Linked DNA regions of Lonchura striata. The protein of the gene in region 1 purifies or fractionates together with the protein of each later gene. This does not show direct contact. Links are inferred from orthologs where the notes say so. Each region holds a gene or a part of one and is shown on either strand. Other genes may lie near its edges.

Region 1 (3,911 bases):
TTTACAAGAGTATCTAAAAGTTTTCTTTCCAATCCCACATTTCTTGTGGCTTTTTTTTTGTTTGTTTCACTGGGCATTTACACTATTCATACATTTTTAAAGAGTGCTGAAAAAAACCTTAGCATGAGAAACATCTATACACCTCTCCATAAATTGTATCTGCTTTCTCATAAATGTGAGAAGACACTACTCTCAGACCACTTTTCTTTGTGTCAAAATGCACTTATCCTGTTCATAAAAAAAAGAAACAAAACATGATTTTCTGAGAAAGATGAACCAAGTAATGCAGCTACAGCCCCACAATTCTGAATCCAAGTACTCAAAATTCTGTTTTCATGTCTCAAGTTAAATCACCCAGAGCAACTAATCTAGTTTACCAAGTACCAAACTACATTTCATTGGAATGAGAAAAAATGCAACTTAAAAACAGCTCAATATTTTGGTTTTCCACGTTTAACAGGCTAACAAATGATTAAGAATTACAAAAAAAGTAATTATATCTCCTGTTGATAGAATCTTGCTTGTCAGCTTTGTCCAAGTCTCACAGACTGGATCACAAGGAGTGATGTACTGTGGAATCACTGGCTGGGAGATGTTCACTGTCTCCACCAAAATGGAACACACATACTACAGACACAAAGATTATTCCATACAGATCAATTTTCCATGGGCTTGATTTAAGAAATGAGAAGTTACATGTACCCTAGAATCACACAAGCAGAATTTCACTCAACCATTCTTCATCGAAAAGTTTGGGTTCATTTGCATTCACATTTCTTATGTTAATACTGAAGAATTAAATGTGCTGCTTTCCCTCACAGCATCTTTATTTTATCTTTAAAGCACCAGGTTTTACACCCTCTTGTAGCTTCTGTGCTGCTCTACTGAGCTTTAGACAACAGATTTCCTAAAATAAAAGTGCAAGTTCAGTAACTCTCAGGCACGGGATGCTCTCAGTGCATGAGACATTGTTCAGCACCAAAGAATGGAAAGTAACATGGACTCTAATTTCTGTTTATTTCCCAAACATGTTTCAGGAGCCTAATTATAGTTAAAACCTCACCTGTATTTCCTACAAAAAATAGTGATCTCTACACGCTGCACTTGTAAAGTTTGTTTTGCTGTGTGACCTGTATGATTCCCAAACTATATGTCAAAAGATTAGAATTTTTATTTGTGAAGAAAATTTCAGACACCTAGGGAAAACTTGTGAGAAGTAAACAAGCTTCAGAAAATGCCACTGCAGATGCTGAAGTGGTTTGGTCTCTCAGGAAAAGCTACAGAGAATATCTGTGCTGATTTTTCCCGGATGCTCGCTGGAGATACCAGAGTCACAAGCTTACAAGTGCTTCGCAGTTTCCCGGGTGGGACACTCGTTGTTGGAGGTTTATTTTGGAGAAGGGGGGAGTGAAGAAAAGGAGACAGGAAGTACCCTGTAGGGTTCTGTGGCTGAGAACCCAAATCACAAGTCTCACAGAAATTTTTATCCAAGAGTTACATTCACACAGCATCCTACAGTCACTATATAAAGTAGGATGGGAATTTATCCATACAACTTCCTTTAAAAAAACCCAAAAAAACCCCGAAAAAGGGGCAGACACGAGGGGAGAAGGACAAACCCTCGAACGCCTAAACAATGAGAGCAGAGCAGGTGACTACGAATGACAGAGAGCCCGCGGCCAGGGAGATCTGGCAGACGGCGCTGAGGGATCTCCAGGAAAGTTTACATCCTCCCACGGGGAGCGGGAGATGGGCCGATAGCGGCACCTCTGCCGCCGCCTCCCCGGGGATCCGACGGGGCAGGACGGCAAATCCCGGGCAGGACCCGCCCGACCGCCCCGCGGGGCCCGGCCGGCACCGCCGGGGCCCGGCCCGCCCCAGCCGAGGGGTACCGGGGGCAGCGCGGGGGGACGCGGGCAGGGCGACCCCCACCCGATTCCATGAAATTTTGGGGGAAACGGGACCGGGAGACGAGGTGGGGGGGGCGGATCCTCCCTGCAAGGAGGGCGCGGGCCGGGGCGGGCGGAGCGAGCGGCACCGCCGGCCCGGGGAGGGGGCAGGGGGGCGGCACCGGCACCCGGGGCACCCTGAGGGAATACTGCGGGGTGCCGCGACCCTCGCGGGGCTGGCAGGGGCCGGCGGAAGCCCCGGGACCGGCGGCGGCTGCGGGCGGGCGGGCCCCGGGCCGGGGGCTGCGGGCGGGCCGGGGGCGCCGCGCCTGCCGCTGGAGCGCGGCGCAGCGGCGGCGGGGCGGGCAGCGGGCGCTCGGCGGGTCGGTCGTCGGTCACTCACCCGTGCGGCGGGCGGGGCGCGGGCGGAGGAGCCGCTCGGCACGGCCCGTCCCCGCTCGCGGGTCGCTCAGGGCCGCTCGCCCGCCGGGACCGGCGCGTTCATTCGGGGCTCGGGACGCGCCGCCGCCGCCGCCGCCGAGCGCACGCACGCACGCACGCACGCACGAGCAGACGCACGCACGCACGCACGCACGATCGGACGCACGCACGGCGCGCCTGGGCCGCGGCGGCGCTGCGGGGCGGTGTCCGATTGGCGGGAGACCGGGGGTTAGGGAGGTGTGCTCGCGGCCTCCGTTGCGCACGCGCGGTAGCGCGCACGCCTTTCCCGCTCCCGGTTCCCGCTGCCCCCGCGGAGCTTCTCCGCGAGGCCGGGAAACGGAAGATGGGGGTGTGTGAGGAACAGCGACTCTGCGCATGCGCAGCCGCCGCCGCCGCTTCCCCGCGAGGTCCCGGCGCGAGCGAGCGCGGCTGGCGGGCGGCGCGGGCACAGAGGGAGCGGTGCGCATGCGCTGCTCTCACCCGCAGCCGTTGTTTGTTGGGGGGGGGGTACGCGGGAGTCGCGCTGCTGCGGCCGCGCAGCCGCAGTGCCGCGCGCGTGCGCAGAGCGGGCGGCGAAGGGCGGGCGGCGCTGCGGCACGGCGCGCGCGCCCCGTGGGGAGGGGGGAGCGGCGGCGCGCGCGCTCCCTCACGGTGCCCCCTCCGGCCCCCCCAACCCCGACCGCCCTCACGGCGCCCTGGGCGGAACCGAACGGAACGCAACGCAATGATCGGGGTTGGAAGATCTTCGCGATCATCAAGTCCAGCCGTCCATCCACCGCTGCCCCCACAACCCCTAAGCCGCATCGCTTAGCGCCACATCTAGGCGCCTCTCAAACGCACCTTTGGTTCCGGGCTGGCAGTGGCAATGCTGGGTGATGTGGTTTAGTGGTTTTGGGGTTGCGGTGCCCTGAGTGGGTGGCTGGATTTGATGGTCTTGACGGTCTCTTCCCGCCTTGACAATTCCATGATGCTAAACCACATCACTCAGCGCCAGGTCCAGACATCTCTTAAACACCTCCAGGGACGGTGCCTATTCCAGCACCTGACCACCTGAACATCATCATCCATTTTACATCACAATACATGGATGTTTTACACACTTATCCCTGCCATCTTCTTTTGTTCGTTATATTTTATCAATTAATTAATTAACTTTATTAATTAAAATTTTCTTCATTTATTCCCAGAAGCTGCTGCATGTCTTGAGGGAAACCTCTCCTTTCTCTTTGGGGTTCTTTGGTGTTTACTTATCAGTGAATGTTTATCAGCTGTTGGAGAGGGAAATCAAGCCATAAAACAATTGCTTTGAGTTTTGCCTGAAAACAACTTTTCCAGTGGTTGTGCTTTCTTCTGAAGACAAAAATACTTCTGAAGACAAAAATACTCTGAATACAGAGTATTTTTGTTCTACTCTGGCAATATTTTTGTCCTCCTTTGGCACAAGGAGCTTTAGAGGGTAGCATTTGAAAATACAACATAAAAGATGGTGGTGATGGTTCTTTGATTTGGCTGCGGTTGAAATCAGTGCAGTGCCAGGTGCTGCTGTATAGCCTGGGCACCTGTGGGAGGAAAAGTTTTCAG
Region 2 (3,911 bases), on another chromosome or scaffold:
AAGCCATAAGAGGGTAGATTCTTGTGTAAGACAGAAAGAGTACGAGATATTTCTATCCATGCTGGAGCTTCTCCTGTTCAACATATTTACAAAACAGCTGACAAATTTACATATTAATTTACATACTTACAAAATATCTGACAAGAGGATGGAAAATGAAAATAACCCAATGATATTGAGCTATTCAGGATGAGGACTATGAGGATTCCAGAAAGATCTTAAGAAAATGAGTGACTAGGTAATAAAAAAGTGAAATACAGTCAACACAACTTCACATAAAGCCAGAAGAAAAGGAAAAGCAATCTTAATTTCAGATCTAAAATGGCAGGCTTTAGTTGACCATTGGAGCTTAGATACAGTATCTCAGGGTCAAAATAGCCAATTCCATGAAAATGCCAGCACAATGACCAGCAGCGGTGTATAAAAACCGAATTAAAAAACCACACAAAAGTAGATTAACTGACAAAAACAGTTAGAAAGGAATAAAGGACACAGAAAACATAATTGTGACACGTGGTAAATCTATGGTTCTCTTATATCTTGAACAGCACTTCACAAACATACAGTACAGTGGGAAGATTTTAGAAGACCAAAGATATAATTTACATATGCAGAACAACTGAGTAGGGCAGGATTTTTGAGCCTTGAACAAAGAATATGAGATGGGGAGGGATGCCTGACAGAGGTCTACAAAAGCATAAATGGCATGAAAAGGAGGGACAACTACCAATGTCTCTTTGTATACAGATGGGAACATTACACTAAGTCAAACTAGTAAGAGACATATTCAAAACAAGACACTTTTCTTAAGAGATAAACACACACCTGTCAAGGAAATGTCAGAAGACAGCCGGGGATATTGATAAAAACAGATCTCTGGCTTGAGCTAGTATAGGCTCTTTTCTGTCTTTGATAATTACAGACAATAGTTACTGTAGGTGCACACAATAAAAAACATACCTGAATCCACTCCTGCTGTTTAGCATCTCCTTTGTTCGTTTTGGCTTCAAAGCCTTTCCCACCATATTTCTGGTCTTCACTTACACACTTCACGTGTTCTTTATAGTCATCACCCCTGAATATAAGAGATTTTTAACCACAGGTCATTGAAATGCTTCACTCTTCAAACTATGCAACACTTAGCCAACCAACAAGATTAAGTAATAGATAATTTAAATTAACAGATCATTTAAACCCTATTACTGTCAACTCTTAAATTATAAAAATGTGATGTGCTTAAAGTAAATGCTTGTAAGACCACAGGCATTTCTGTCATGCTTACAGCTTTCAGTGAAAGTTTCTGACTTGCATCAATTATATTTGTGACAAGAGTGAGGAAGTAAGTCTGTAGAGTGAGCAAAGCTATTTCCCATTCTTTACATACCAGAAATCCTTGCCACAATCCATGCAAGACAGGCACTGACACTTTCTGCAGATGTTCACATGCTTTTCAACCTGTGCTTTCTTCACAGCTTCTCCACACGCATTGCATGTGAAAACTACCATGTTGGCAAGTGGTCAGGAGCCTCTTCCTTCCCACAAAAACGCAACTCTAGGAATACAAGAAGAAGATCTTAATTTATAGCTTGAAAGAAACACTTGGAGGGCCGAAGCGAAACACAGCCGTGCACCCACTGACAGACAGGGTGCGCAGCCCGCTGCTGCACGTGTCAGAGCTCGTTCCACCCGAGTCCCTCCCTGAGCGCAGGGGAGATCAGCACCCCGGGAACCACAATCCCTGCACCCGCCACCCCAACAGGGAACCAGCGACCCCGAACCCATCACCCGAACCAGGAACGGGTAACCCCCGAACCCATCACCCGAGCCAGGAACGGGTAACCCCCGAACCCATCACCCGAGCCAGGAACGGGTAACCCCCGAACCCATCACCCGAGCCAGGAACGGGTAACCCCCGAACCCATCACCCGAACACCTGTAACCCCTGCACCCGCCACCCCAACGGCGGAACCGGTGTCGCCTGTACGGCCCCAGCGCGGATACGTCGCGCAGGGCCGTTCCCGGTCCCCTCCCCTCCCGTGCGGGACCCCGCCGCTCCATCCCGCTCCCCGCAGCTGCAGACCCCTCTCGGCCGTGCCCCGCCGCGCGGCAGCGCTGAGAGGTGGCCGGGCCGCACGGCGTGGGAAGCCCGGCGTGGCCGCCACCCGCGCTCCTGTGCGGCAGCCGGCTGCTGCCGTGCCGAGCCGAGCCGAGCCGAGCCGAGCCGAGCCGAGCCGAGCCGAGCCGAGCCGCCCCCGCTCTCGCTCCCCCGCACCTCAGCGGCCGCCGCCCGCGCGGCACGCGCCGCACCGCCCGCTCCGGCCCCCGCCGCCCGCGCCTGCGCTGCCCCCGCTGCCCCCGCCCCGCGCACCGGAACGGGAACGGGAACGGGAACGGGAACGGGAACGGGAAGGGGAAGGGGAAGGGGAGGGCGCGGCGGCGGAAGCGGCCGCTGGCGGGGATGGAGCTGGGAGGAGGCCGGAGCCGGTAAGCGCAGGGCCGGGCCGGTTGCTGCCCTGGGGCCGCGGCGCGTTTCCCGCTGCCCGGGGCTGCGTCCCCCAGCCCGCACCGGCCGCTCGCCGCGCTGTCCCCGGGCAGAGCGGCCCGCGGCGACCAGACCCTCCCCTGTCCTCTCCCCCGTGCCGCTCCTCCAGCCTGGCCGAGGCGAGCTTAGCTCCGAACAGCGGCTGTGCCGGAGCGGCTGCCGCGGTGCCCGGCCCCTGGATGAGAGACACTTCACTGGCAAAGTGATTGCAGGATGCCGCGGTGGGAAATGTTCACAGGAAAAGCCTGTTAACGTGGTTCCTTTATTTTAAATCCTGGTCAAAGTATGATAAGCATTAATAGAGAAAAAGCACAATGTAGTAACCCCTACCACCCCCCCCTCCCAGTGTAATACAGCCAGAGACAGGGCACATCAGGATAAATTAATGTGGAACCCTTATTGTTCATGAGATTTGAGAATGGGGCAGTCACTATCTGGTCATGCTTAAAAGGTGGTTTTCCTGCTTCATTCCTTAGAATAGGAAGGTTTTTCTCCTAGTTAGAAGACTAGAAATTCAGATTGTCCTAATAGTTGGAACTGTCATGTTTACAAGCGCACAGGGGAAGTGTTGCATCGTTGTTGGAGGGGGTGGGGAAAAGGAAGTATAGAATTCAATGTAAATGTGTTGTGTTGGAATGTGACTTGTCTATTCAACCTCTAAAGAGGGGACTTTTTCATTTAGATTTTACATTGTATTAAGAACAATACCATGTTAATGTGTCTAATTAATCAGATACATTGTAGAAATGTATGTAGCTAGAACAGCAACAAATGCCTGAAATAATACTAGTTTTCCCTTTTGAGTTTAAAGGATGAAGAAACTGAGGCTTTCCTCTACAAATGCTACTGATTTTGTACATGCAATGTGTTTTTGCATTAGACTCTTAATTATTGTGGAAGTTGTCTAAATTGAGGTGCATTTTTTTGTGGTTATGGAGTTCAGTTTATTGGCAGCACCATTAGATTTTTGCAGATGCTCTGTTATAAACAAATCTCTCTTAAAAATCACTGTTTCATATGTGTATTGCTGTGTATCTGTTGGTGAACAATATTGTGACTCATCTTTAACCAGAAAAATGTTATTAGCGATCAAATTGGAGGTGTAAACTGAAGTCTGCTTCCTTTGAAAGCTAAAGCAAATTGTAAAAATGTTCTTAATGTTTTAAATTAATTTTGCAATTTAATATTCACCTTAGCATTTTATCTCATTATAGGTAATTTAATGATTTTCTAGCATGGACACTGTTGCTAGCCACAGCTGTCATCTTCTGCAGCAGCTACATGAACAGCGCATTCAGGGGCTTCTCTGTGACTGCATGCTGGTGGTGAAGGGTGTCTGCTTCAAAGCACACAAAAATGTGTTAGCTGC

What was found.
Region 2: the proteins of PHF6 (region 1) and LYAR purify together in Homo sapiens (affinity purification with mass spectrometry; 3 studies listed by BioGRID and IntAct, with this or other methods). This does not show direct contact. The link is inferred for Lonchura striata from reciprocal best matches to the Homo sapiens genes PHF6 and LYAR.

The regions. Positions count from the first base shown.
Region 1 is NC_134616.1:6,951,984-6,955,894, forward strand, and holds the start of PHF6 (PHD finger protein 6), read right to left. Parts: upstream 2,417-3,911; 5' UTR 2,293-2,416; intron 1-2,292.
Region 2 is NC_134606.1:13,230,914-13,234,824, reverse strand, and holds the start of LYAR (cell growth-regulating nucleolar protein), read right to left. Parts: upstream 2,342-3,911; 5' UTR 2,273-2,341; intron 1,553-2,272; 5' UTR 1,507-1,552; coding exon 1,385-1,506; intron 1,076-1,384; coding exon 961-1,075; intron 1-960. Other genes in the region: ZBTB49 (zinc finger and BTB domain-containing protein 49), read left to right, coding at 3,778-3,911. UniProt on the Homo sapiens protein: Plays a role in the maintenance of the appropriate processing of 47S/45S pre-rRNA to 32S/30S pre-rRNAs and their subsequent processing to produce 18S and 28S rRNAs. Also acts at the level of transcription regulation.